Linked DNA regions of Pelodiscus sinensis. The main gene of each other region encodes a partner of the protein of the gene in region 3 in a complex. Links are inferred from orthologs where the notes say so. Each region holds a gene or a part of one and is shown on either strand. Other genes may lie near its edges. The genes, in order: CDAN1, TLK2 and ASF1A.

Region 1 (9,893 bases), on a different chromosome or scaffold from region 3:
AGGAGTTGTACTGTATTATCTCCTACACTCATAGCACGCTTTGAAATAATCAAAACATGCTTACTGTAAATGACATAACTCAGCAATGCAAATCTTTGTCACCACAACAGCAGGGACTGACTGCCGATTGCTCAGAATCGACTCTAGTACTCCACCAGAATGAAATGAGTAAGGAGAGTTGATGGGAGAAACCCAGCACGGTGTGGACCCTAAGGTAGGGAGATTTAAGATACGCTGACCTGAGTTATGCTACTAATGCAACTCAAACTGTGTAGCTTAGATCAACTTGAACCTGTACTGTAGACCTGCCCTCCCATTGAAATCACTTACTCCCCAACAGATCAGTCAAAAGCATGTGATACAGAACAGACTAAATTCATTCCAAGCTCTTATTTTCCTCTCTCCAAGTTTAGCACAATAAACCCAGTATTTGCAAAGCAGACCCACAGTGGCACCCTCTCTGAATCACTCCTCCTTGTCAGAAGTCTCCAATTGTGGGAAGATCAACACTGCAGCAGTTGATCTTCTGGTGTATGATTTAGTGAGTCTAGTAAAAGACCTGCTAAATCAATTGCTCAGGGTGCCCCTGTCAGTGCCAGTATTCCTACTCCATATGAGGACTAAGGAAAGTAGATAGAAGTGTTCTATCGACTTCCCGCTGTGAGGATGGCGCCAAAACACAGCTTAAAGTACACCGACTCCAGCTACATTTTGTTATGTAGCTGGAATTGCATAGCTTAAGCTAGAGGTGGGGAACCTTTTGTTGGGTAGGGGCCATTAACCCACAGAAAAATCAGTTGGGGGCTGCACTCAAGTGAGAAGCAAAACAAAACAAACCCCTCATAGACATGGCCCCTGACTGACACTCCCCACATTCCCCTTGCACACCAGAGCCTAAGAGGCCCAGGCTAGTAGATTTTGTGGGCTCCAGCTCCATAGTAGGGAAACAATGGGGGAGTCTGAGCTCCAGTGAGGGCTCCCCAGTGCTGAGGAGGTCCGAGCCTTGGGGGCTTGACCTTCCCCTGCAGTGTGGACCTGGCCTCTGATTCCTTGCACTAATGCTCATACCTTGCAGCTCACACACAACAGGGTGTAATTTACCAGTTGGCTGCATTTTACAAAGGCTGGGATTTGCAAGGTGGAATACTTTCTTGTGAGTGTTTGGAATGATCCAAATTTGCATATATGCAGGTGGGTCTATACTGTTTGTTCACTTGTTTTCACTGCCTATAAAGCAAAACCTGCCAACAGTTCACCATCTATCTGATTTAGGCAAGAAGAGGAAGCCATTATAAACAAATTATGTTGAAAAAAGTATTTTGGACAGTAGAACATCCTTAATTTGCACACAACTGTGACCCCTGGTGAATTAGTAAATGAAGAAAAGGCTCTGCTTCTTAAATCATACTGTGTTCATTTCTTCTGACAACTATAATTACCTGTGACTTGATATTTTATACAATCTACTCATAAGATAGTGTTCTGGGAGTTTTTTTCCTTCTTGAGGCACAGAATCAGGTGAACAGATACTACTTAAAACCTTGGTTCTTATATTACTTGCCTTGACTATCAAGAGTAATCCCACTAAAATCAATGTTACACTTTAGAGGAATAAAGTGAAGCAAGTGTCTGAGTCTATGGGTACGTCTAGACTACCGCGTTTTGTTGACGGAAGTTTTGTCGACAGATACTGTCGACAAAACTTCCGTCGACAAAGCGTCCAGACACATTGAGTTCTGTCGACAAAGCAAGCTGCTTTGTCGACAGAACTCCGTAATCTGGACGCAACGTTACAGGCAATAACACCTTCTGTCGACAGAGTTCTGTCGACAGAAGGTGTTATGCCTCGTAAAATGAGGTATACCAGTGTCGACAAAACTGCTGAGTTCTGTCGACGTTATGTCGACAGAACTCAGCGGTAGTGTAGACGCTGGTATAGTTTTGTCGACAAAAGTCCACTTTTGTCGACAAAACTAGGTAGTCTAGACACACCCTCAACAACAGGGCTAAACTCGAAATAAGTCACAGGACTTGAGCTACGCTTATTGTGTAGCTTAAGTTGCGAAATAGCTTATTTAGACTTTTGGAGCTGTCTACACAGCAGTTATTTTAAGATAGAGCATTCTTCCCCTACTCCTCACACAATGAGGGTTCCAGGAGTCTGAGTAAGCAGTCCTCCAGCTTGACATTATTTTGATATTATGTCGAAATAACTGATTGTGTTTAGACATGGACTCTGTTATTTGGAACAGTCAGTTATTCCAAAATAACACTGCTGTGTAGATAAAGCCTAAGCATTTTCTAGATTAGAAACACTTTACAGTTAGATATAACTATGAGCAACTGCTATAACACAAAAAACAAATTGATTCTTCACACAAGCGAGCTATGCATCATGGTCCCTAAAACCACTGGAAGATGGAGACGTCACTGACAGGGGCATAAGCAAGCACAAAGCTTCAAACCGAAAACTGCCTGGGGTAAGTCTCACTTACACCTGTGTCCTTTGTACATTACACCACTGCCTCATGTGAGTAACAGGAGTTGAGGGGAAGGGGGTGAGTGATGCTCTGGTCTGTCCCTTAGGAAGCACCTCTGGGACAGGCTGCAGAGCTTCAAGCCACATCTAGAGGGGCCGTGGTCGTACGGGTCCCCGACAGGGCAAAAAAAAATCTCATCATTAAGAATGAAGCCGGGCCACGGCGGGGGGAGAGGGGGACCTGGGAGCCGCCGCTCCCGGCTGATGACAGGTGCCCCCCTTTCAGCGCCGGACGTGGGGAAGCAGCACAAAGCCGCCGGGAGCTGCACAGAGGCTGAGCTAACTCCTCTGCAGGGGGCATGGGCCGGAGGGGGGGGTTAATCCCCCGGCTCCATGACAACGCCGACTCCTGCCGCGTCGCAGGCCCAGATTGGCGGGGGGGCGCCTGGGGCCCCGCTGTCCCGCCCCGCGGCTCACCGATGTCCACCACGGAGGCTCCCGGCAGGTCCAGCGTGTCGATGCCGCCCACGATGGGAACGGCCTCGGCGTGGCCCATGGCAGAGCCGTAGGCGCGGTGGTGGTCGGGCTGCGAGGCGGGCTGGGACATCTCGTCGGTGGGCAGCAGCAGGCCGAGCCCGCCGGGGGGGCCGCAGCCGTGCGAGAGGCGGCAGAGCTTGCTGCGGTCGCGGCGCTTCAGGTCCCGCCAGCGCTTCTTGAGATCCTCCACGTCGCGGGGGCAGGCGGCCACCGGGTTCACCTTGTGCCGGATCAGCTCCCACACCCGCCGCTTCTGGCCCGGGGAGGCGCGGCCTGGCCCCGCCGCGAACAGCAGCTGCTCGTGCTTCAGCACCTGCTCGATCAGCACCTCGGTCTCCGCCTCGTTGAAATTGGCCTTGCGCCGCTTGGGCGAGTCCTCGGCCATCATCCTGCCCGGCCCGCGGGCCGCCCCGATCGCCGCGCGCCCGCCGCTAGGCCACAGCCCGGGCCCTGCTCGGGAGACCAACGCCGCGCACGAGAGCGAGGGACGCGCAAGCCCCCAGCGCAGGCGCCGCGCGCCCCGCTTGTTGACATGGGGAGGGGGCGGGAGTCGGTGGCCGGGCCGCCCCGCCCCGCGCAGGGAGGCTGCGCGCCCCAATGGCAATACCTACTGCGCCCCGTGACAGCCCCCTCTTGCCCCGCCCACCAGAGGCACCGACCCTTGGAGCCCCGCCCCCTTCTGGCATCACACTCGCCCCACGGCGCCTATCGTGTGGTCCCGCCCTTTCCGATTCTAGCCCCTCCCCCCCCGCGGCGCACGAGGGAGTTAGTGGCGGCGCCGTCGCCTGCGCCCGCGTGGTGCAGCGTCTCAGCCCCGCCCCCGGGCCCTGCCGCAGCCGCGCTTGTCCGCGCGCTGCGGCGTAGTGCGCCTGCTCGGCGGCCGGGGATGGCGGCTGTTTTGGAGCTGCTGTTGCGGGAGGAGGTGGCGCCGGACGCCGTGGTGCGGTGGCTCGTGCACGGCCCCAGCCACGACCCAGCTGAGGTAACGCGCAGCCCGGCAGCGAGGGGCCGCGGCCTGCAGCAGCCCGGACTCCCTGCCCCGTGCGGGCCGGTGGCCTGGAGCAACCGGATTCTGGCGTCTAGGGGCTCTCCCGGGGGCTGCCGCGCTCGGGCCATGGAGGGGGGCAGCCTGCGGCGGGGTGGGAAGCGCAAGCCGAGCTCAGCACCGGTCTGCGGGCGGCCGGTGCAGCCGACAGGCCCCAGGGATCAGCCCACTTGGCCGAGTCCAGCCGAGGTTGGGGCCGGGACTCTCGCCCGCGCAGGCAGCTCGTCTAGTTTGGCACCCTGTGTGGTGGGCCCTGGGGGCAGTCAGCGCTTCTGCGGGCTGGAGGAAAATAAGGGGGGAGGAGCCGCAGCCGCGGCGAAAAAGAGTTTGTAGCGTGTTCCTCCTCAACGGCCCAGCCCCACTGCAAAATAAAATGCCAGGTGTGTGTGATCCCTTGCGTCCTCCCGCTCTCAGCACCGCCCCTAGTTTCCATGCGCTGTGCTGGTGTGTTAAGAGGAGTTTTGTATTAAGTAGGTGCAGATTTTTTGTTTCTGGCAGTTTCCCCCAGGCAAAGTTTCCAACACTTCAGTTAGTCTATAAGGTGCCACAGGACTCCTCGCCGCTTTTGCAGATTCAGACTAACACGGCTACCTCTCTAATACTTAACCCCTTGATGTGACCCACAAAGCTATTTGGCTATTATTGTGATCTGTTGCTGCTGAAGAAAGCTTGGTCATATGAAAGTTGGACAGGCTATCCAGATAAACTTACACTTGGATCTCTAGAGCTTAGGCTATTTACAGAATGTTCACAAAATTTTCTTGTATTCTATTCCTAAAATGTGAGGATCCCTGTAGTTTAAGAGCTCCATCTGCTGGTTTTGCAGCAAGCAGCTATCAAACACAATTTCAAAGGCACGTTCTAATAAGCTAAGAGGGTGCCTAGCCTGCTTACTACTTGAATATAGAGACTTCCAAAAAAAATCCAGGATGCTGCAGGAAGAGTGGTAACTTAATAGACTTAATTCATCCCTCTGAGTTAGTTCTGTTTTATTGCCCCTGTGGTGTGCTTGTGGATTCGCTGCTGCTGTCAATGACATCTCTTAGGTGTGATGTAAAGCACTTTATTACAGTCTCTTGGCATTTGTCATACATTAGAAGTTATGTTGGTAAACACCATTTTTACCAAATGCCTGCTCAAGTAATTACATTTTTTCTCTCAGCTTCCTTTCTAAAATTTATATAGCATGGCTGCTGAGCAGATGACATTTTCTAATGTGATAGTTATTGTGAATCAAGGAGTAGCTGAATTGTTAGTAATTGTTAACTACATTTACGGTGTGTTTGGCATTTTTTGGGGAAGAAAAGTGTTGTATAAATGTAGCTGAACTATGTGGTTGTGAGCCACGATGGGAGAAAAATCTATAGCTCATGGAAAAAGGTCAAATGGTTAGGGAAAGACATTGCTGTTTTTAAATAAAAATTTTCAAAAAGGGAAAGAGATAAAATTGAGTTATAGTGTGAAGTCATTGTTTGTGCAGTTTTCCCAGATAGTCGAATATTGCTTTAATGAGAGATTTGAGGTCTCATGAGTGAGTTCTGGACCTGGAACCAAGGTACCTGGAGTTCTATCCCTGGCTCTGCCATTGACTTACTGTGTGACGTTAGGCAAATCATTTCACTTTGGCTTTTTCTATTACTTGTCTATTTGGAAGTTTCAGGGGGTAGCCGAGTTGGTCTGTACAGGATAAACTTAAAACAACAAATGGCCTGGTAGCACTTTATAGACTAACAAAACATGTAGATGGTATCATGTGCTTTTGTGGGCACAGCCCACTTCTTCAGGGGTTCTTGTAGATTTCAAAGCAGGCATGCCATGTGGAACCCCAGGTCAGCGGAACTCCCAGCTGGCCTGGGCTCCCCACTGTGTTCTAACTTTGAAATGTACAAGAGCTCCAGACATTTCAAAGTTGGCCACCGCTGTGCCCTTGCCCACTCCCAGAGAGCTGGAGCTGGGGGGAACTGGCTTTTAAGCCGGCTCCCACCAGCACCCGTTCCTTCCCCCCCCTCCTCTCATTGCCTCTTTGTGATAGAGGCAGCAAGGGGGGGGTGAAGCGACTGGTCGATTAGTTGCTTATATCCCTACAATACATCAGGTGTGGTATTTCCAGTACAGTTGGGCTACGTCTACACTGGCAGCTTCTTGCACAAGAACTCTCTTGTGGAAGAGTTCTTGTGCAAAAATTCTTCCGCAAGATAGCATCAACAGTGCCATGTGCTTTTGTGCAAGAGCATCCATGGCAGTTTAGACACTCTCTTCCACAAGAAAGCTCTGATGGCCATTTTAACCATAGGGGCTTCTTGCGCAAGAAATTCATGTTGCCTGTCTACACTGCCCTCTTGTGGAAGAGCTCTTGCACAAGAGGGCTTATTCCGGAAGAAATCCTGTTTTATGACGCTATACTGTAAATTTACTTCTGGAAGAATGCTCGTGCATTGTAGACAGCCGGCAAGTTTTTGCGGAAGAACGACTGAGCTGCCAGTGTAAGCGTAGCCTCAAGAGAATAGAAGAGTCTGAAACTAGAAGAGCTGATGAACCAGGTGAGGGAGGAGAGAGCTTCTGGAAGGGAAAATCTTTAGATGAACCTCAATTGTATGGAGTAGGCTTTGCTATTAAGAACAAGCTCGTAAAATGCCTCTCTGAGGTGCCAGTAGGCATCAATAAGCAGTTTATGATCATCTGAGGCTCACCAAAAACCGAGGTAACTATTGTGAGTGCCTGTGTGCCAACAGTGGACGCTGATGAGGATGTAAAGGAAGATTTCTATTCTCAGCTGGAAACCATTTTATCAGAGACCCCTAAAGAAGAGAAGAATTTTGGGGGGGGGATTTCAATACGCACGTTAGACAAGACTGATATCTGTGTAAAGGAACAGTTTTCGAAAGAAGGAGCTGGCAAAAGCAACTCAAATGGAATCCTGCTCCTGACCAAGTGTGCTGAACACGAACGTATCATTATGAACACCCTTTCTTGACCAAAAAAAAGTTCAAAACATCTTGGAGAGGCCCATGTTCAAAGCACTGGCATCTTCTTTACTATGTCATAGTTCATGCTCGAGTTTGTAGTGATGTACTTCTCATGAGCAATGACAAGTGCTGATGACTGCTGGCCTGATGATTGCCTCATTTGATCCACAGTGAAAATTAAGATAGCCCCCCAAATGAGGGCTGCAAAAGAAACAGATCAGGTGCAAGCTTGAAGGGTCAAGATCTGAAGGACCCATTAAGCATGACCACTTCCAAGCAGCCTTATAAGAAAAGGTTCCATCAGAGTTTCTGGAGGAAATTGAGGAGCATTGGAGCCAGCTGAAAGCAGCAATCCTCAATACTTGTGAGGAAACAATTGGCTATCATACCAGAAACTATTGGGATTGGTTTGAGAATGATGTTGAAATCAAACAATTCATCAATGAGAAGAAATTGCAATACAAAGAGAGAAGCCCATGCTAAGGTAAAGGCGGAAGTCCAATGTAAAACCAGAGAACTCAAGAACAAATGATGGACCGAGAGAGCACAAGAACTCCAGCACTTTTATGGCTACCCATAATCACGTCTTTTTAGTGCTATTAAGGCTGTTTATGGGCATGGCATGAACCCCCTTCGTTCAAAGGATGGAACCACACTTATGAAAGACAAAGCTATTAATTTTCACTGGAAAGAACATTTTGAAGATCTTAATTGTAATTCTACAGTTGCAGATGAATTTCTTGAGCGAATCCACCAATGACCTTCTAGGGATGAGCTTGGAGACCCTCCCAATTTGTATGAGGTATACCAGTGGTCCCCAACGCGGTGCCCGCGGGCACCATGGCACCCACCGGGGCATTTGTGTGCGCCCGCCGACAACCTGGGCCGGTGCCGGCCCCAGGCGCGTGACACGCACCGGCTCCCGGTGCGCGGCGCTTGGGCGGCCCCGGCCCTGGGGCACATGCCGGCGCCGGGTGCAAGGGCATCCCCGCCTATGGCGTGCCCCAGGACGCGCGGTCCCCACCCCCCGGGGCGCCCGGCGCAAGTGGCCCCACCCCCCAGGCGCCCGGCGCGTAAGTGGCCCCGCCCCCGGGAGCCTCTAAAGGTTGGGGACCACTGAGGTATACAATGCCATCAAGCAGATGAAGAAGGCAGTAGGTCCAGATGTGATCCTCGCTGAAATCTTTAAAGATGGTGGATCAGAGTTAATTTGTCTGCTTAGTTTGCTTATCCTTAAAATCTAGATAAAGGAGGAGATAATCAAGGCATCCGTCATTTCACTGGGTGTTGCCCTCTTTAAGAAAGGGGATAAAGTAGACTGGAAACTATCATGGTATCGTTCTTCTTGCTGTTGTAGGAAAAGTTCTGGCATGAGTCCTTGCAACCTGTCTTCTGTCCGTCAGAAGAAATTTTACCAGAGTCACAAAGTGGCTTCCGACCTTGTCCTCATTGGGATCTTCATTTCACAGCAGCTGCAAGAGATGTGTCAGGAGCAAAACTGACCACTGTACATGGCTTTCATTGATCAAACTTTTATTGAGCTTTTGACTCAGTGAATTGCTATGCCCTTTAGACTGTACTTTTGAAGATCTGATGTCTTGATAAATACATCAGTGTCCTAAAGTTGCTTCATGGAACTTGAAAGTGACTGTTTTGAGCAGCATTGGCTCCCAGAGTGGACCTTTCAAAGTACAAACAGGAGTCAAACAGGTTTATATTGTTATCCCAACCATGTTCACAGTCTTTATTGCAGTTGTTTTTTACCTAATTTCTGGGAAGCTCCCAACTGGTGTTGAAATCATCTACAAAATGGATGGAAAGCTTTTGTGAGGCTTAGCAGGCTGAAAGCGAAGAGTAAGATTTCCACCATATATATTGTGGAACTTCAGTATGATGATGGCACTGCAGTTTTTGCCCACTCTGAGATCTTCAGGTTATCTTGAACGTGTTTGGTGATGCTTATGCATGTCTTGGTCTCACCTTCAACATCAAGAAAACCAAAGTGCTCCACCATCCCTCTCCAAATGAGGTACCATGCACCCTATCTATTAAAATCAATGGAGAGGCATTGGAGAATATCTATCATTTTCTCTGTTTTGGAAGTTGTCTTTCATCCAAGGCTGTTGTTGATGTAGAAATCCAGCATTCTCTGAGTTGTGCCCCTGCAGCCTTTGCTTGTTCACAGCACAGGGTTTTTGAAGATCATGACATTCGAACAGACACCAAACTTCTTGTCTATCAAACCATCCTTCTTCCAACAAACTTGTATGGCTCAGAAACCTTGACAGCCTATAGATATCACTCAAAAGTGCTTGAGAAGTATCACCAGTGCTGCCTCTTCAAGATCAAATGAGAACACAGTCACCCTAACATGAGTGTTCTAGAAGAAGCATAGGCCACTAGTATTGAGTCAATGATCATCTGTCAGCAATTTTGCTGGACTGGTCACATTATTTGGATGCCAGACTATTGCCTCCCACAACAGGTCCTGTTTTCTCCGCTGAAAGAAGGATACTGTAGCGTGAGAACATAAGAATGGCCATACTGGGTCAGACCAAAAGTTCATCTAGCCCAGTATCCCGTCTGCCAACAGTGATCAGTGCCAGGTGCCCCAGAGGGGGTGGACTGAAGACAATGATCAAGCAAATTGTCTCCTGCCATCCATCTCCAGCCTCTGACAAACAGAGGTCGGGGCACCATTCCTTACCCCCGGCTAATAGCCTTTTATGGACCTAACCTCCATGAATTTATCTAGCTCCTTTTTAAAATCTGTTATAGTCCTAGCCTTCGCAGCCTCCTCTGGCAAGGAGTTCCACAGGTTGGCTGTGTGAAGAACTATCTTTTATTAGTTTTAAACCTGCTACCC
Region 2 (9,893 bases), on a different chromosome or scaffold from region 3:
TTAGATAATTTTATTAGAAACATTCCCATAAGAGTGACCTAATTCAGCTTCCCTGGTGGGAATTCTGGTTAAAGTTCCTTCCCGTTAGAGCATTGAGAGTTTCACAGACAGTGAGCAGCACGCTGAATGGCACTTATGTGCGTTTCGGAGGCAGTGTAGAGCCGGAGGCATGGATATCGTCAGTGCTTTGTTTGTTTAAAAAAAAAAAAAAGGAAGTGCCAGTACTAGGGCTGCCAGATGGTTTTGTTGAGCCAAAAAACCCAAAAAAACCCAAAACAAAACACTCCGGGGAAAATTTGTCGGGGGGGGGGGGGGGGGAGCGCATGGGAGGTCGGGGCTGAAATGCGGCAGCCCCTTTAATTGCCATGTCCCGAGTGGGGCCGGTGCATACCATCACAAAACAAGCACTAGGTGTCGTATGCAATTATCCATCCACCCTACCTAAAATGGGTCAGGCCTCATACTATACTCGCTGATGCTTTCAAGAGATCTGCGAGAGAGCCCCCAAGTCGAGTGTGCTGCTGTAGACCAGTCTGGAGTTGTCAGCTGCATCAGAGAAGGATACAAAAGGCGGGGAAAAGATGGTTGTATCCCAGTTGTGTGAGGTGCTGCACAAATGCACAGAAAATGACAATCCCTTGACCTAAGGTTTCATCTTGCCCCCATCTAGCGGACAAGATATAGCTGATGAGATGAACAAGCAGGTGTAGGGACGGGAGCCAAGGGAACGTAGGGCCACATGAAGAGGATGTGTGCAATCCTTAGTCAATTAGGGACGACCCTGCGATACCCAAAGCCTGAGCTAACTGCCCAGGTTTCCATATTGAGGGTGAGCCACAAGCATGTGTGTTAGGCAGGGAGCTGCCTAAGCTAAGGATGTTAAGGAGTAGTTGACTAGTCGATATCTCCCCCTGCCCCCCCCCCCCAGCTTGCTGCTTCTATGAAATAGAGGCAGCAAAGCAGGGGGGAATAGGGGGTACCTCAAAGCGGCAGCACCGCACAGAACCTGTACCTGGGCTTCGTGTGCGCTGCCACTTTGAAATGCCCTGGTAGCACCACACAGCTCAGCCCAGGCTCAGTGCATTTCAGATGTGCATTTCATCTCAGTGCATAACCTGCTGGGGCTCTTGTACATTTCAAAGGAGGAATGCGGAAGTGTCAATCAACTAGTAAATTACTCAGTATTTAACATCCTTTGCCTAAGCCAGCCAATAGATGCAGAGCAAGAGGGGACGTGCTAAGCCTTGTCCCGACTCAGAAATAGGCGCTAAGTCTGGGCAGCCGGATGGCATTTATCTCTGCTAATGAGCCCTCAGGCAGGGGAAGTCTGTGGCTAGGCCCTCAGCCAGAGTGTAGGAAACCCCTTCCTTCCGAGGCAGAGAAGGAATCTGAAGAGGGTTTTGCTGCCTCTCAGGTGAGTGCTCTGACCACTTGATCATGGAGTATTCTGATGTGAGGCTTCCTCAATCCCTCCTATTGCAGATGTTCCCCTCTCATGAAAACCAGAATAATTAAATATTAATTGGGGCTGAGAAAAACTTGGAACAACTTAACCGCCAAGCAATTAGAGCCCTCAGTGGAGAGGGGCCGCAGCCTGTTCAAATTCCTTCTCTCTCGCAGGAGGGGGGGTTTGGACCAGGGGTCGCAAGGTGAGTGCACTAGGCTAAAGGTTAGAATGAGCTCCTCTCTCTCATTTTGTGTGGGCGCGTCTGGGGGCCCGGATCCAGTAGGTCACTTCTGGGTACACCTACCAGAGTGGGACCCTGCCTACGACGTGAATGGCAAAATGTCCATCTTCCCTGCTTTGTGAGTTATGGGGGGGAGCCAGAGGAGATAACTGGGCAACTAGCAGGATGCAGGAGTGCACATGCCCAGAGCCAGACACATGAGCGCCTGGGCATCTTTTCCTGCAAAAACGGTGCTGAGGGAGAACAGGCACCTTCCAGGGCTAAGGCGACAGCCACGTAGGAGTTGAGTGGAGCCTAAGGGACTCAGGAGAGAGGTGAAAGTAAGGCGGTGCGCCGCTCGGGCAAGAGCTGACTGGGGGATGCTTTCCCAGGCCAGCTCCTGCAGGCTGGTGCCGGAGACCTGGCGTGCCCAGCCAGGTGAGGCAGGCAGGTGTGCAAGGGACTGGCTGGGATGCGCTGTAAGGGGGAGACACGCTTCCAGCCAAGCTACTGGTGCATCCACACCTGTCCTGCTGCCCCCCTCGCTGGATGCCAGGCAGCGCTTGTGCAGTCCGTGGCATGCACGGCTGCCAGCAGCCCCTGGGAAGAAGCCAGGGGAAGGGAAGTGGCAAGCTCACACTGCTGCTGGTATCCCTGGAGCCCCCACAGCTCCCTTGTGGCCATGCAGCAAACAGGAGCAGCAAGGCAGGGACCTGTCCCCCAGCCAGGTAAAGGTAACCAGGCAGCAGCCATCCCAGCCCCCCCTTTCTCCTACACATGCACCCCAGCTCCCTGTCTTGAGCCTCTCCCCCAGACTCCCAACCCCCGGCCCTGACTCCTGCACCTCCCCCCAACTACATCCGTGCCCTGAGTTCCTCTCATACCTAAATCCTGACTCCTACACCCTCAAGCCCCAACCCTCTCCCCCCGCACTCCACCCCATTCTTACATTTCTCACAGGTAGTTGCATCGCAACCCCCTCCCCCACTCTTTGCTCTGAGCCCTCCCAAGAGGGGCAGGTTGCCTTAGGACAGTATCTGTAAGAAATTTAAGTTACTTTCACCCCTGGGAGTCTAAGTATCTTTGTGGCTCATACCCAAAGAGCTAAGGACCCTTAGTATAGGACAAAAATGCAGCTTGTGGCATCTCTCACTCTTCCCCCAGGTATTTCACATGTTGAACAAGCGACTGAACCCTCCACAACTGAGGAAAAGCAGCATGTGGATCAAGAGCAATATTGAATTTCTTCAAAGGAATGAGCAAAACCATACTGAAGTGACACACCCATTCTGCTACGTGACTCAAGGCTGCTGGTATAACTAAATCGCTTCAGTAGCCTGAGTGTCTGACTGCTGTTTCCTGCCTCAAGGAGATGATCGACCATCAGAACTAATGGCTCTAAAGCCACATCCAGATCCACAGACATAAACCACTGCAGTTAAGACCCTGCTGGAGTTGACCTGCTTCTTGGATATAAGAGTTCCCAGATCTCCTTTCCATTTCTGTTCTCTCTTGTTGATTTGTAACTATACCAATGAAGTTTACTTATGTTATGAATGAAAATTCCAAATGTCACTAATCATCCTCTAAACTGTGGTGATAAGTTGTAATAATTTAGATGGCTTAAGAAACATGCACAACAGAAGTCAACTTTCAAAACAGTTTGCACAGGTCCCTGTCAGTGTTCATGTCCCCACGGTGCATCTCGGGGTGGGAGCTGAAATTTTGCTACTACTTCCTCAGATTGGATCTCCGGCTGTGAAATAGGTTAAAGCACAGGAAATGCAGTTTACGAGAAAAGGCAGACATTTTCAAAGTGATTTGCAAAGCAAGTGCCCAGCAGCCTCCTCTACTCCCCACCTTACCGTTTTTAACCTCTGTTAAACTAACCATTTTAAAATAAAATATTAGTTCTTTTCAGCACTGCAGGTTACTGCCTTTTCTTGTACATTCCAATGGAATCTATCATTCCCTTAGTCCTACTCTGTATCCTCAGATTTGCCAAACTGGCAGATTCCTGTTCGACTGTACGTTCTCTTTATTGCAATCAAGTAAATCTGACTTCAGTGGCTGACTCTCTTTTGACATGCAGCCATATTGTCTAGAACACCTTTACCATTGCACTGTAGTTTTGGAAGGCAAATATTTCATCCAAAATCCCAGCAACTTCCTTTCCTGTCCCTAATCCACGCCTGCCTCCACTTGGACAGGCATGGCCACTTCCTTTCTGAATAACCTTCCCCACCCCCAATTTGTTTGCTTTTCAGAAAGCTGATTCAGCCTTAAAGCAAAGTGAGTTGCAGTGCTGTTTAGCGTCACTTAATATTCTCTCTGGTGATGCCCCAGGGTTTGGAAGAAAAGGGAATAAGAACAAACTACAAGGTAGTCTGGCTACTGTGGGGGAGATTAAGTCCTTTTCATACTGGAGTTTAGCAAGAGGCAACTACAAGAGCAAACCCCTAGCTGTAAAAGTGCCAGGAAAGTCTGTGGTTAATTTTAAAGTCACTTAGTTTGCTTTGACTGCCCATCCTGCTGTTTATGTGCAATATCCATGTTTAATCAGGAGCTTGTTAAAAAGATTGAAGAAATGGCAAATCAGGGAAGAGGCATTCTTGTTTTCTCATGTCTTTTTCGCAATTCCTCAGAGGCACAATTGATTGGGAGGTTGGGGATGTTCTGCCTATAAACTCTTCCCTTCAGGCCCTGGAGTCAATCTCTGGGGAACAGGAGACTGTCTTTGCAAACAAGGTCCCCTGTTGCTCAGGAAGAGGGAGGAATTCCCTCTGGGTGGAGATGGGGAGGAATTTTCCCTTCATGCCACAGGGAGTTAAGCAGAAAGCAGGGAAAGTGGATTCGCACTGATCATTCTTATGCATCAACTCCGCTCCTCTGCGCCTGGTCTGTTACTCCTTGAAAGCACCCTCCTGGCTGGGGGAGCAAGACCGCCCAGGTTACCCCTGAGCAAAACGTCAGCCACCCACTTTGCCCCCTAGCAGCAGCCTTGCAGTTCATTGGAGGGTGAAACAACCTGGGTGGGTATAAATCTCCACCAATCCCCTCCCCGATGCACTAATCCAACTGTGCTGAACCCTGGCCCTCTGCACGTTCTACTTTCCCCGTGCACGCCCCCTCCCCAGGCACTAACCTCTCACCTCCAGGACGGAGCCCCTCCCCTCTACACTTGACCCCACTTCTCCTACCAGGTGCCCTGGCCCCCCATGCACAGTCCTCTCCCCTGGCACAAACCCCAACCCCACGCACTAGCCCCTCCCCGCGCTGACCTCCCCCCTCCCCATGCCCATTAGCCCCTCCCCTCCCCGCATTCACCTCCCCCACCCCAGACACTAGCCCCTCCCTACGTTGACCTCCCTTCCCCCCTCCCAGCACTGACCTCCCCTCCCCCCCCAGCCGTGCAAATCTCGCGAGAGAACACGCGCTTTCACTAGTGTGTCTTTGCACCAATCGATCCCTACCGGGCCGGGCCGAGTCGGACCAGGGGGCGGACCCGGCCGCCCCGACACCCGCCCCACCCCCCCATCGCCGACTACTCGGGCTGACCGTGCAGGGAGGGGGGTGCCCCGGATTCTCGTGCCCCCCCCCGCGGCTCGTCGGAGCCGCCCCCCCCCTTTTTCCCCGGGGCCTTTGTCCTCCGAGGCCGCCGCCGCCCCCTCCCCGCGCCTCGCGCCCCTTGCCCGGGCGGGGCGCCTACGCGAGGCCGGGGATCCGCGGCCTCCCCCGGCGCCGGCGAGGGGCTCGCCCCGCGTCCCCGCCTCGGAGCCGCCGAGCTCGCTGCCCGCGCCGGCGGGGCGCCTGGCTCAGGAGAGGCCGCGGAGCCGCCCCTGGCCTCCCCCTCCCGCCCGGGCGGCCGCAGCAGGTTCCCCCCGCCCTGCTGCTGCCCCCGGCGGCGGCGGGATCCGAGCGGGGCCCGGGGAGCGGCCGGGCCGGGCCGGAGGGGAGAGGAGCGGCGGGGGAGCAGCGCCAGGTGAGAGCCGCGGGGGGGGGGGGCGGTTGCTAGGGGGCTGGGGGGGGCGCGGCCCCGCCCTGGGGGTCCTGGCCCCGCTGCCGGGGGGGGGACGCGCCAGGCCACGGGGCGGGCCGGGCTCGGCCTGCGGATCCCCGGCCTGGCAGTGGAGGCGATGGCTGCCTCGGGTGAGGGGGAGGCCGGGGCCGCAGCTGGGACTGGGGGGAGGGGGGGGCTACATCCCTCCGTGTGGAAACATCGTGCCCGGTGTGGGGCAATTCCCCCGCCCCCGGGGTGCGGCCTGTCAGCAGGTCTGCCCCAGGGCGCCCCCCACCCCCGGGGGGCAGGGACACCCCCGCGTGTGTCCGCCTCAGCCCCCCTGCAGGGCTGGGACCCCTGTCCCCAGGCCGCGCCACGCTGGTGGGGGAGGCTCTGCCTGCTGGTGGGGCGCCCCTGCCGCCCCTCCATCGCTGCGCTCCTTGCCAAGGGAGAGCACTGACAGCTTTGTTAAATGGAGACCAGAGGGTTGTATTAATCCGGTGGCTCGGTGTGTTAGGGCTTTTATGGCCTCTTCAGGGTGTGAATGCCCCCAAATGGACTCGCTCAGCACCTTGGAGATGAGAGGAAATGAGATTGGGGGGACAAAATGGACAGTCAATAAAAGGAACAATTATATGGTGGCTTTTCTAGAGGGCACTTGCTGCCCTTCAGGAACTTTCCATGTAGCATATGATCTTTATACAGCAAATCTGTATTCTCTCATTTTTTTTTTTCCTGCCATGATCTCTTTCGGAGAAATGAAACTGGAACAGATATTTCTGGAACTTATGAACTTGCTCCGAATGCAGTTAAGAAGATGTGAATCACAGTTTTAATAAACTCTGCAATTCCTCACTTTTTTTCAATTAACACTGAAATTGTACGTTTCAAGAATTAAACCAGATGACTCAAGGATGCCTTTAAAAAAAAAAAAAGCGTTTCATACAATGGTGCCAGTTTTAATGGATCACTTGGAAGTACCCAGAAGCATCCAACTATATGGGAGAAACTTGTGTGTTTGAGTATTTGGTACATTGTTTAGTAAAAGGAGAAGTTTAAAAAAGCATCATTCTCCATCTCATCCTTTTCCTGAAGAGCCTAGGCTTTGTCTCTGAAGTTGTCACAAAAGCCCTAGTAGCTGTAGGGCATTTGGAGTTATCCAGTGCTTCAGTGAATGGCAAAAACAGAGAATAGTGGGGGTATGAAGGATGTTTGAGAGTTTCTGACTAGTGTAGGGCTAAAGACTTCAGCTATAGCGCCCTCCCCTTCTGTTTTGTCTGCAAGAAATTTAACAAAATACTCAATGGGAAGACGGTGGAATCAGAGGGTTAGCAATAGGACTGAGGTTCCAGTTAAGAAATTTCCAATAAGTGGTAATTCTGTCAGATGATGGAGCTCTCTAGAATAGGCCCTGGTTAAAATAGTAACATTTTGGTGGCAAGTCACATTTTACTACATGATCATTTTGAATCTATATTGCATGACAGAAATTATTTGTATACAGTCACTTGTTACTACAGCTATTTTTGAGCATCATCAATGCCAGAGAAAATACATTCTTTCCCTTTTCCTTGCATTGACTAATATAGCATATTTTTCTCCCATAGCAGCAGAAATGATGGAAGAGTTGCATAGCCTGGACCCCCGACGCCAGGAACTGCTGGAAGCCAGGTTCACTGGAGTAGGTGTTGCCAAAGTAAGTAAAAGTGCCTGTGAGAGCAGGCACAAATACCTTGCACACCATTTTTTTTTTAACAGAGAAGTAGTGCTGTTTCAATAAGGGGAAATTGTTCATTGGTAATTTTGCTTTGTCCACTAACTTATTTTAAAGTGTGTGTAAAGAAGAATATACAATACTGAAAATAACGAGTTTGCCTCTGTGTACATAGACATCATGGTGTGTGTGAGAGTTTGAAGGCTTGCTCTTTTTTTTTTTTTTTTTTTTTCCTAGTATAAAAAAGCCATGCACCACACACATGTTTTGGAAGAGGGAGGATAGGCCATCTTTTTCCTATCTCAAAGGGTTTGTCTAGGAAACAGATGAGTAGCTTATTTGTTCTTCTTTGAGAACAACTGAAATTGTACAAGCTTAGCCTAATTTGTTGAGCCCTGGATATAACTATCTACTCGCCTGTGGTGAGTAGATTTTAGCCCAGCGGGGCCGCGCAGCGCGGTTAGCGTATGCCCTTCCGTGTGGCTGGCAAGCCCTGGTCATATCAATCAAAACTTACTTATTCAAGGGTAAGCTTGTGTATAATTAGGTTTGCAACCTGCTAGCAAAATCATAGAATCATAGAGCTGGAAGAGACCTCAGGAGTAGGGATGTTAAATTGTGGTTATCTGACTAATCATGTGGTCGATACAATTTGTTTCGACTACACGATTAGTTGATAAGGACCACTCTGCAGAGCAGCAGCGAGGGTACCTCCGGGAGCTGACTCGAGCATTTTAAATGTAGTAAGAGCCCAGTTGGTCTTACTACATTTAAAATACAGAGGTACAGTGTCCTGGACCAGTGCGAGCCAGGACCGAGCAGTCCTGGCTTGCGCTGAGTCCAGCAGCCCCGGTTTGTGGCGGCTAGAGGCTGCTTTGGCACCAGCCCCTGTTCACGGTGAACAGGGCTGGCTGCCAGAGCAGCCTCTGCGCACAGCCAACTCGGGCCACCGCGAACAGGGGCTGCTTGGTGGTCCAGCTCCCTAATGGGGCCCCTGTGGATAGAGCAGCTTCCCCTCCCCCCCCCCTCTCCGCTGCATGTGATAGAGGGGGCAGGCAGCACCATGGAGGGAGCCATGCCGCGGGGAACCAGTTTTTAAGCCTCTCCTAGAGGCAGCAAGGCAGGAGATGAAGTGAGTAGTTGATACTCTAGTCAACTATTCACTAACATCCCTACTCAGGAGGTCATCGAGTCCAGCCCCCAAATCCTACCCTTCTCTTAATATATGACTTTGTACCTGGATAACAGTTGCATTTCTTGAGTAAGGCATTCAGTAATAAGCTATGTCATTTCCGTCCTTTTGTTTAAAATTCCAGGATTGGATTTGATCTGTTTCTGTGTGTACTGTTATAGTGCCTATAATAGTGTGTCTTCATTTTTCTCACCATTCTAGTTCTCAAATAATGGTGGAACAGTGATAACATTCCAGTTTGCATACTTGAAAGTCACTGAGTTTCAAGCCATATCAAGCTAGAAAGGAAATATAATTAGATAACTTGTTGCTATAAAAAATGCAGCCACCTGTTGGAATCATATTGGGCAGAGGAAACTAATTTACCTTTCTGTGATGAAAAGTACAAAATAAATACATCAAATTTTGGAAAGGTTATATCCAAGTTCATACTTTGTTTCTGACCTACTTTGTGCTTCAGTTGTATTATGAAGCCCTGGAAGTAGATCAGTAAGTAAACAGTTTGCAACTTAAAGGAAGCTGAGACCTGGTCCAAAACTGAAAAGTTTTAGTGTTAAAACTTTTGGTTAGGTATGCTATTTTTTAAACTTATATGGTAATATAGGTAAAAACTCTAATGGGGTGCAGTTTTTTGGGGATGAAGATGACTTACATTAGTATAGTTATTCCTGTTTTAGTATGGGGTGAGCTATACTGATATAATTGTGCTCGTTCTTTTGAGTAGTGGTGGTAGTGTGTTGGACCTCTTTAACTATAGAAGTATAGTTAAAGCAGTACACAGTTCTAATGCAGACATGCCCCTGGATTGTTGGCTTCTTGAGGGCAGGACCCTCGTCTGTCTATATTATACAGTGCCTAAATATTAACACTGAGGTGAATGTTAACTTTAGGAAGCCACTTCTTATAAAGAAATAACTTTAAGCAGATCTAAGCATGCAAAACTTAATGTTACACAATTGGGAGAAAAATGCTCTTCCACTATTAAAGTTAATGAAAATTACCTTGCTAATTCTCATGCCATTGAACCATAAATTGCTGATCCACCTAAAGAGAACAACAGTTTCTCGTTTCCTAGAGCACACAGGAGAGGACTGTATAGTAGTAAATTTGTCTAGTGTAAAATATGGCATTGTTAGTTTAAAACTATTATGTTTCTTAAAATAGAGAACATCTTGTGGTATAGCTGGTTTATTTATCTTCATACTCTTACTTGTTAATTTGCAATGGATCTCCCATCCACTCATGAAAATTACCAAGGTCCTACTAAAAATGTGTAGTCCTGTGGCACACTAGAGACATATGGTATCATGAGCAAAACCC
Region 3 (9,893 bases):
ATGTCCACACTACCAGCCCTACAGTAGCATACCTGCAGCACTGTCACTTGTTTTCCAACAATATAGTCAATTGACCTGAAGAGGCAATAGCTAGGTCAGTGAAAAAATTCTTTAGCTGACCTAATGGTTTAGGTCAGCTTAACAATGTCTCTTGGCATTGACAGATAGGTTGACCTAAGTTTTTAGTGTAAAGCACCCCTAAGTTTTAGGTGTAGACCAGGCCTGAGTCATGGTTTTGTGATACAGAGAAAGCTCCCCTGAGAATTAAAGCGAGACTGATACCAGAGCAGTGCATAAAGCCCCTTCTCTGCTCTCCTCTCCCCATTTCCCTTGCTCCTTGCCTTATTTGTAACTCTTTGGCTTCCTCAGTTGGTAGTTCTTAGGATTTTCAAACATCTGAAAATGTGTGGGTGAGTCGTGATCTTCATGTGTCTCCTTGACATGCTTCAATCAATGAGAATCCCAGACTTATTTCAGGACTTGGGAAACGGTGTTGCAATTACAGCATTATGGCATGAGGAGCCAAACATCATGATGCAATATTGTCTTGCTGACCAAAGACAGATGGCTATTCTATTGAACTGGTCACTGGGGCCTAGACTAACATTTATACTCAAAAGTTTCCCACAATTGCTACCAACACTACAACCTCACCAGTGGTATAGGTGTTGGGAAGTGCTTTCATGTACCAGCTAAATGGCATTTTTAATCACTGTGTTGTCTAACTTTTCCCTGAGCAAGGCTAGTCAACAGAGTGGTTACAATGCCAGTAGCCACCAGAACCTTGTCTAAACTAGTCCTCTCCTTCCCCCATTCCCTCATTGATACCACAAGTGGAACTGTAACTGTAGGCTATTTCAGGCAAAACAAGGACTCATGTAGACAGATTTTCAGGAGTTGACATAAAATAGTGTTTGCTAACATAAAACATATTATTGAAATGCTGCTTCACTTTATGCTGGCCCCATTTAAACATCAGATTAATTCAACTGATGTAAAATTATTGAAAATAACAAACTTACCTGAAATACAAACATGTGCCTTCCTGCAGGAACAGGTCCTACTAAAACGGAGTCTAAAACTTGATCATACTCCTCACTTTCTGCTGAACCCACATAAATTATTTTCCATTCCAAATCTACATTAAAACAAAAACAACATTTTACAAAATGCTCACAATTTTCATCTAATTTAACTGCCTCTCTTTGGAAAAGTCAGTCCATTGCTCTAGGTAAGGGGCCCCACATCTTGCTTATTTAGGACATTCACTCAAACTTGCCTCCATAGCTGCTGGCCTACAAAGGCTAAAGGGTTGTCAACAGGAGAAATTTATTGGCATAATTATACTGCTTTAAAGCTGATGTAAAGTTGTAGTGGTATAACTAAACATAAGGGAATGGATCACTTGTTCATTTGTACCAACACAGCTCTACGTATGCTTTCTAAGTTTTGTTGTTACCATTAGTTTTGCTGCTAAGCTTTGCTGCTACCATTATTTGGAAATAGTATCCTCCCCTCTCCCCTGGAAAAGGGCTGTGTAATGCCATTTTTAGATATAGATGGATGGGGAGAGATGGACACTGAAGATAGACACAGCAGGAACAGTTATATGTGGGAAGTAGTGAGCTCATTCACATGTGGTAGCCATGGTATAAAGAGCAGCACAAAATCCAATTTTGGGTCCCCTACCAATTTTTCTTTTTCAGAGCAGGATAGTTGTTAATTGAATAGATAGCTCATTGTACAAATATACATACATCTACAAACATTGAAGAATATATAATTATAATATTGTGATTACAGGATACTGTTAGTAAAGGTTTTGGTGTCTGGCTGTAACCTGAATCTTAAGACTGAATTATAACCATTTTATGTAAACTCTGTGTTTTATTGTTTCATAATACAATTTAAAGAAACGTTAATAGTTCATATTTCTTAGCCCATTTGTGTTGCTGTGCTCACTCTTTGCCCACACTACCTGTTTAAAAACTGAAACTATCAACTAACATCCATTAATTTTTATTTCCACTTATTTTTTAACTTTCACTTTCTAGATAAAACACACATACAGGAGAACTAACCTGCCAGAATTACTGGATTCTAAACAAACAAGCAAAGGTTGCTCTGATGGGTTATTCTTATTGAAAAATGCCATTTGTGATTTACTTTTTTGAAAATAGAACTTATTTTAAAATGTTTCAAAATATTGCCTTTAAAAAAAACCAGGTGTGACCCATTTTCATCTTGTGTATCAGTATGGAACAGTGTACTGATTCTGTATATATGCTGTCATCAGCGCATACTCTTGTGTCATTCCATGCTTTTCAATGAGCTTCTCTGAACAGGTGCGAACAGGAGTCTATGCGAGGCACTCCTGTTGCAGGATAGGAGCCTAAATAAGGAAGAAACTGCAACATTGTAACAACTTGGCTGCTTTACTATCTTTTATCATTTAGCACAGCCTTTTATGTGTGTTTATTATTTAAGTGGCATAACTCATAGGATTCAGGAAAGAATTTTGGGAATACCAAGACAAGATATCAGATTAGATGGGCAAATGGTCGGATCCACTGTAGCAATTCCTGCTATGTAAATAAACTATATAAAATTGAGGATTGATGGTTTTTGTCTAGAATTTTCCTTGCACATCCATTATAAGCCACTGTCCCAAAGCACTGTTTAAGTCATTCTGGACTGATAGTTAGGGTTGCCAGGTGTCCAGTATTGGACCAGTATTTGCAGCTTCTATCCAGTTAAAAAAAAAAAAAAAACCAAAACCAGAAAATATCAGACATGTAAAATGTCCGGTATTTTCTGGGTTTTTTTCCGGACAGAAGGCCACTTGGGACATTCGGGAGTGTAGGATTTAAAGGCGTCATGACTTTTTTTGTGGTTTTTTTTTTGTTTGTTTTGTTTTGTGCTCAACTAATTTTTTCCCCCGCCATGTTCAGTATTTTTTGTGAAACTATCTGGGAACCCTACTGATAGTATAAAACAGATTAGGAATCATATGGGGGCACGGTTACAGGAAGTAAATGCTCTTTCAGAATTGTATGCAAAAAGGGTAATTATCAAATCCTATTAGGACTCTGTGTCCAACAGTAACTTTTAAAATTGTTTTGACTAAATAGATGAAATTTTAAAATTAAATTGGCAAGTGATTGGTCTGCTTTGGAGAAAAAAGCACAATAGATGACTGAGATATTTAGTGTTTGGACATTAAAGCAAGGACACAACCTTCTTCATAAAATGATGAAGATTATTTGAAGATTATTTGTAATAATAATCATTGTAATGACTTCTATGAAAGCTCAATAGCTGTGGCCATATGGAAGTAGATGTGGTGATTGTGATGTACCTCTACTTTTCATTCTCAGCTGAACACAGGGATAATAGTGCAAAAAAATGAAGTAAACTTCTTTTTTCTGCTAATTTATACACTAATCAACCTGGCCCAACTTTCATTTAAATCAATCTGGTGTTGAGAGTGATAAATACAAATGCACATACATAGGAAGAGAGGGCTGAAGCTCTTTGCAGCATTGGTGGCATCCAAAAAGTCTTAAAGAGTAACACCATGGAAGCCTTGTTTACACTTGAGAAATCTTTAAAAAATTTCTCACTGGCTCAGCACAGGTGTTTACCATGAATCCCTACAAAAAAATGGCAGCTACTTCTCCAACTAAAAGAAATGGTGAACAGCACTAATACTAGGGTAGCAGTAAGATAATTTAAGCAAGTCTTAATTGTACACAGGGCCCTTATGGAGAGTGCCAGCAATTATGATAGACCAAAGGTGGTGGTGTTTTCTGTGATGTGGACACTTGCTCCCCATGGAACTGGTCTCACCAAATGCATTTTGTGTTAAGTCACCAATACATAATAAAGTAGCAATGACTGAAAGTTACAGATTTGGACTGGATTTGTATTAGTGGCACAAAGATACAAAACACCCCACATATCCCATTACCCAAGCTTTGAACTGTTTAGTCACCCATAAAGTAAAACCAGAAATAAGTAAGTTTATTTTCCCCTACTGCTTAAAATGTTGGGATCCCCAGGTATCACATGTCACTGACAGTGTTAGGGTATAAATAGCTCCTAATGGTTCTGCCCTCTTCATGGGGGACACAAGAAAGCACAAGCTGAATGCCTTGTGGCCAAAGGTACTCCCACTCCTCCCTCAAATGCTTAAGATTGGTCACTAGCCTGCTTCATTCACCTGTTGTGCCAGTGCTCCTGAGGGAAGCTGGAGGAAGCTTGCTCCCTTCTTTTAGTCCAGTGGTGAGACCAGGGGTCCCAGAGTGCTCCTCTGGCCAGAAGAGAAATGGATTTTACTTTCTGCTGTAAACATCTTGTTAACCTGCAGCACTGGCCCAATGCACTGTAGGACCACTGCTGTAAACCTTTTTGGACGATGCCTGTGGATTGCTAAAGTATTTGGTAAGAGTAGCCAGCCCTGGAGGCGTCGCAGCTGAGCGACACAAGAGGTTAATGTCTAGTCCACCCCCTTCACTCAGGAGTGGGTGGATACATGCTGACCGCACTCCCTGCACAACGCACCCCGCTCTGGGCAGGCTGGGGAGCAAAAGACTAGGTTTGAAGACAGAACCTGAGATTCCTAGCTGGCAGGACATAGCAGGGTACACCTACACCCCCAGGCTACCACCCAACAGCAACTTTCAAGTGAGTTCTAAAAATACTATTTCCCTCCCCCGCCCTCCCTTCCTCTCTCTCGGGGCGGGGAGTGTTAATAGCCGGAATAATACTAAATCTGTAAAGGGATTCAATCGGCTAGTTTGATTATTTTCAGACATTTTGTAAAATACTAAGTGCTGCAGCTACATTTGAATCTCTACTTGGAGCAGCCCACCCCTCTCGAAATATTTCCCCCCAAAGTATTCGAATCGATTGTCAAGACAATGAAAATATTTTATTTCTTGGGGGTGGGGGGTGTTCTCCACTTTGTGCAACCTTTCGGCAGCATTCCTCTTGGCTCTGCTCAGCAACAGTTCACTTCAGCAAAAGGGATGCATGAGAGATGTGCTCGTTAACCCCCTCCCTCTCTCACACACACACAGACACACACAAACACAAAGCTGGCAACATGGCTACCACCACTCAAACAAGTTCCTGGCAACTTAAGCTTACGTTATAAAATGCAGGGTTTGGATCCGAAATACAGCAGCACTCAACTCTGCAGCAGAGGACACAATAATCAACTTTCCTTTGCCTTTCAGCCTAACCGCGTCAGCCTAAGACAGAGCATTTCTAAGCAGCATTTAGATGCCTGCCAGCACATCCTTTCATCTAGTCACACCGAGACAGAGAAAGAGAAACTGTTAAATAGTAGAACCAGGCCTTTGCAAAGTTTAAACCGTTTAAAACCTGAAACTAATAGCCCTGGTTATAAAATCCGTACTGGGGAAAAATCTACTCACCTTCAGACAGATCCTCTATGCATTCAAACGTGATTTCGAATTGAAAAGGATTGTAGAAAGGCGAAGGATTATCCAACACCACTACATTGTTCACCTGAACCTTTGCCATATTTTGAAAAAAATACAAACAATAGGAATAGGGGGTTAATGCAGCACAGTAAAGTCCAATGTGTTGTTTTTTTGTAAAGCACACACTCCAGTGCCAGTACTTGATCAAGGTTGTAGAGCTGTGACTTGAGAAACTTTTTTTTTCTTTTATTTACAATAGGAACACTCCACACTGTTTTGCAGCTTTCCTATTTCACTAAACTACAGCCCATTCTGCTCTGTTAACTGGCAGCGTTGGCACTGATTGGCTGCACACTGAGCTATGACCCTCCTCCTGAAGCTTCCTGAAAGAACAAGATGGGCTCCTTTGCTCTGAATGGACTGAAAAACATTAGCTGCTGCTCCACCTGCTGGCCCAGAGTAGGAAAAAGGCTTGGAACAAAGTGACTAGCATAAATGAAACTGGGAGGAACTAATGAATGAAGGATGAGCTTGTAGTCTGAGTTTGAGTACTGTGCTCACAAAATATGTGCAAGGCACCACTGGATGGAGTTGGCTTTTTGTTTTTCCTCTCCTTGTTTATTATCCCCCTCCCTTTTTTCTTTTTTTCCAAATCCAGGTTTTCTTCTCTGTGTGGCCAGATGATGAATAGAATTATTTCATTAAGGAAAACATAGTTGAAGTTGCTGATTTTTTTTTCTCTTGCTAGTTTTAAATCTGTTTACCCTCATTGACTTTATTTCTGCTGTATAATGGTGCATTTCAAATAAACCCATGGGATTTAAGGGACCAGGCCTGAAATCTTTACATGAGAAGTTCTTGCTGAGGGCTTGTTCACACTTAAAATGAAGCAGTGCAGCTGCACCATTGTAGTGCTTCAGTGTAGACACTAACTACTAGGGATGCTAAACTGCATTTAATTAACTGTGTAACCACTAAAAATTTCAGTAGTGGTGGGGGGCAGTTGGCTCCCACCTTCCCCCCGCCCATGCTGCTGCCTCTGAAACAGAGGCAGCAGCATGGGGGGCAAGAGGACTACTCAGCTTCTTGAGAGCCAGTGCGCATGGGGAGCAGCTTTTAAGCCAGCTCCCCACACATACCAGGAGCCTGCATGTAACTGTGAAGGTTAGTGGATGAGCCCAGGTGATTATGCATTCACATCACTTCTAACTACATGGACGACAGAGCTTCTCCCATCGGTGCAAGTAATCCACCTCCCCAAGAATTGTTCTGTCAATGTAGCACAGGTCTACACCAGGAGTTCAGGAGGTCAGTATAGGAATGTCTTTGAGGGGTGGTGGATTTTTGACATCCTTGAGAGACATAGCTATACCAAAGTAAATTCCTTCTGTAGACCAGGACTTATACAATTAAAGTCTTTGATGTCAATGGCTCTCTTCACTTGACTTGAGAGTAGGCAAGAAATGGCTGTGGGATCCAATTTGTTATGTTTGAAGAGATGCTAGATAATGAGGTACAATGAGCTGGAACAGTCCTCAAGGTCCATATGGAAGGGGCCTCTTCATGAAGATCTCACTCTTTGCTCATGGAAGATGGGGCAATGACTCAGATAAGTGGCACCAGGCCCCTTCCCTCTAGCCTCTGGAGAGAGTAACTGGCAGGGTCATGGATCTGTGGCTGAGAAGGAGCCAAGATGAAAGACTGCGTGGAATGTCACTCACAATTCCCTGGGAAATCTACTCACAAATAAATACAGGTTCAGTTTGTATTAATTTCTGAATTGAGCCCTTGAGTGTAATGGAGTGTCTTATCTAAGGCAGTATTTCAGAGGATACTGCCTGCATGGAAAGTCTGAGCAATGCTGACAAGGAGCCTGTAGAGATCTGGAGAGCAGTGCTGGACGCAGAGATTCTGTGTCTTCAGCAGATCCCTGAGGGTTGCAGTGAGGTTTCCTCTCAGAGGCTCCCTCTTGTATGTTCTTCCAGAGCAGGGGACAATCTTGGTCTGTATTTACAAAGAAATTATACTGTCCTGAATATGATCTCGACTGTTTTTTATGCTTCTCACAGTGCTGGAATTTACTTCAGTTTTTATAACTGCTATTTAAACAGCCAGATGACATTGTCTACATTGTACTGTGCTTACTAGAGTGAAGCAAAGTCCAAGAGATCAGGGAGGATGAGACAAAATGAGAAAGATTCATCATGGCCAATCTCCCTAAAAAACATGTAGTGTGTCAGTAAAACAATTCTATGCTTATTAATTCTTCACTGCCTATTGGAAGTATGGAACTGCACTGACAAAAACTGCACCAGCCAAAGGGTTGGTGGTTCCTGGGCTCCATTAAGATCTTTGAACCCATTGCCGTTCTAGCAAGATGATCTTTGGATTGGATGTGGCCCTAGCATTCCATAACATCTTTAGGAGCTATGGAGTGTGGGGCATAGGACCATGTGTGATTCAAGCAGTAATGGAGTGTGGGGGGAAAGAGCTTGGGAGAAGGAAAGGGAGGAACTTGGCAGAAGATAAAAGAGAGATTAGGAGGGGAGAAGGGGAGTTGCAGATGTTTAAGGATGGATGGCCATCCTAGTAGTTGTAGTTGCAATCTCAAATCCCCTCATATTACATAAATACCTACTGATAGCATTATCCTGAAGTTGTTAACTCCTCTTCAGAACTAAGTGTTATTAGAGAAAAGAACTGACTTGCTGGAGAAAGTGAAAATTGAATAGTCTTGATATGTAAACAAGAAATGCATCAGGCAGAAATTCAAACTCTTCAGGGTCTCAGTGCTGTGAGGCTTAATTACAGCACGTCACAATCAGCTGCGTCCATTTGCAGATGCAGTGGGGAACTTTTTCTTTGGTTTCAATACCCATGGATTCCTGCTCTCATGTTTCACTTAAATTGGACATTCAAATGAATCCAATAAACAAAGAGAAACTTTGTCAGACCCAGTTCACAGGTTTGTGGAAACAACAATCACTTCTGCTTCACGAACTGAGGAGTTGGTCTCTGTGGAAAGATATGTTAAAATGATTTATTTTGCAGCATTTGTTGAATGGTCTTTTTTTTTTTTTTTGATGCCTTAAGTGTTGATAGTGGATCAGTTGTGTTCCTGGCATAACTTTGCTAATAGCATTGAATTTGCACCAAAAATTAATTTGATACGACAGATTTAGTCCTCTCTCATTCTACTTCCTTTTGTAAATTGTTCATATCGTAAAACCATCACCTTAAAATGTGGCATGCTTGGCAGATTTTCCTGCCATTACCTGGATTGTTATAGAGGGGATGTTGTACCAGCAGGTCTGAATTGAGGTACATTAGCAGAACTCTTTGGTGAAGCTTTTAACACCATATCTTGGGAGGTGCACCGTCCCCTTATTCCCCTGTCAAAATTTTAACTTCTAAATGGGGTGCTTTCTCTCCCTCTTCCTGGCACTAGCTAGTTTATTTCATCCCTCCCTTTCTTTCAAATGCACACATACTTTAAAAAAATATTAAATTGGAATGAACATTCTTCAGGTTTGACGGTAACTGCAGTAAAGGATTCTGGAGAATGGAATTTGGAAGCTGGTGCACTCGTGCTTGCAGATGGAGGTCTTTGTTGTATTGATGAGTTTAATAGCATCAAGGAACATGACAGAACCAGCATACATGAAGCAATGGAGCAACAAACCATCAGTGTAGCTAAGGCAGGGTAAGTGACATTTAAATGCATGTGATGAAATAACAAAATGTCTTTTCTCTCAATTCTGAAATATAAAAATAAATGTTAGATGTAGGTTTCCCCCGACCAATTTACATATTTCTTTACTATACTATACAGTTTTGTTTTAAAATTTCAAGGGAGACTCCTTTGCGCCCCTGTCAAGTTTATTCCTGGTGGTGGATTTCTGATGACCACCTCTCTTTTGATTTAACCTGTGTCCAGGTTGGAGCTTACAGCTCAGTTCAGAGTTCTTTTCAGCATAACCGCAACTACCTACTGTGTATATAGGAGAAATAACCTCCGAAGTGTTGTGTGGGCACAATTCTCTTGGGTCAAGTCTCACTTTACATTAATCTTATACAGACACAACTGCCCACAGCTAATATAATAAATATAGTGGAGAATAGATTCTTGTGTTTCTAGCCCAGACTGTTGACTTCCAAATGTGAGTCAAGGGTAAAATTAATGATTTCTGTCTAAGCCTGGAAACAGACTGAAAAATATCTGAGAGATAAGATGGGTGAGGCAGCATCTTTTATTGGTGGGAGAGACAACTTTTGAGCTATACAGAGCTCTTGTTCATCTCTGGGAAAGGTACTGAGAGTTGTAGCTAAATACAGGATCAAAGAGATAGCTTAGTGTAGGTAATTAGCGCATATTCTAAGTACCCAACAAAGGTGAAATGGCCATCGGGTCAAAAAGGGGGCTAGTGGGTTACAGATTATTAT

The links.
Region 1: the proteins of ASF1A (region 3) and CDAN1 are in contact, whole or in part, in a cryo-EM structure (PDB 9CVC), measured with the Homo sapiens proteins. The link is inferred for Pelodiscus sinensis from reciprocal best matches to the Homo sapiens genes ASF1A and CDAN1. Residues at the interface, in NP_054753.1 of Homo sapiens: Gln5, Val6, Asn7, Asn8, Val9, Val10, Val11, Leu12, Asp13, Pro15, Asn20, Pro21, Phe28, Asp37, Val45, Ser47, Ala48, Glu49, Ser50, Glu51, Glu52, Asp54, Asp58, Ser59, Val60, Leu61, Val62, Gly63, Pro64, Val65; in NP_612486.2 of Homo sapiens: Arg195, Arg196, Ile197, Asn198, Thr200, Val202, Lys390, Leu391, His470, Glu471, Glu472, Pro473, Gly474, Trp475, Asp476, Lys538, Arg541, Arg544, Leu545, Gln546, Arg548, Leu549, Met550, Ala551, Pro552, Gln553, Ser554, Ser555, Arg806, Lys807.
Region 2: the proteins of ASF1A (region 3) and TLK2 are in contact, whole or in part, in a crystal structure (PDB 7LO0), measured with the Homo sapiens proteins. The link is inferred for Pelodiscus sinensis from reciprocal best matches to the Homo sapiens genes ASF1A and TLK2. Residues at the interface, in NP_054753.1 of Homo sapiens: Val45, Ala48, Glu49, Glu51, Asp54, Asp88, Val92, Thr93, Val94, Leu96, Arg108, Gly110, Tyr111, Tyr112, Arg145, Thr147, Phe149; in NP_001271262.1 of Homo sapiens: Arg11, Arg12, Gln13, Leu15, Leu16, Glu17, Arg19, Phe20, Thr21, Gly22, Val23.

What each region holds. Positions count from the first base shown.
Region 1 is NC_134714.1:66,823,813-66,833,705, reverse strand, and holds the start of CDAN1 (codanin-1), read left to right. Parts: upstream 1-3,548; coding exon 3,549-3,998; intron 3,999-9,893. Other genes in the region: uncharacterized protein LOC142829135, read right to left, coding at 2,957-3,404. UniProt on the Homo sapiens protein: May act as a negative regulator of ASF1 in chromatin assembly.
Region 2 is NC_134739.1:5,111,288-5,121,180, forward strand, and holds the start of TLK2 (serine/threonine-protein kinase tousled-like 2), read left to right. Parts: upstream 1-5,182; 5' UTR 5,183-5,649; intron 5,650-7,274; exon of another isoform or gene 7,275-7,277; 5' UTR 7,278-7,282; coding exon 7,283-7,363; intron 7,364-9,893. UniProt on the Homo sapiens protein: Serine/threonine-protein kinase involved in the process of chromatin assembly and probably also DNA replication, transcription, repair, and chromosome segregation. Phosphorylates the chromatin assembly factors ASF1A and ASF1B.
Region 3 is NC_134713.1:84,928,648-84,938,540, reverse strand, and holds the start of ASF1A (histone chaperone ASF1A), read right to left. Parts: upstream 5,778-9,893; 5' UTR 5,775-5,777; coding exon of another isoform or gene 5,710-5,774; 5' UTR 5,551-5,709; coding exon 5,442-5,550; intron 4,313-5,441; coding exon 4,223-4,312; intron 2,613-4,222; exon of another isoform or gene 2,081-2,612; coding exon of another isoform or gene 2,055-2,080; intron 1,139-2,054; coding exon 1,023-1,138; intron 1-1,022. Other genes in the region: DNA helicase MCM9, read left to right, coding at 8,979-9,153. UniProt on the Homo sapiens protein: Histone chaperone that facilitates histone deposition and histone exchange and removal during nucleosome assembly and disassembly.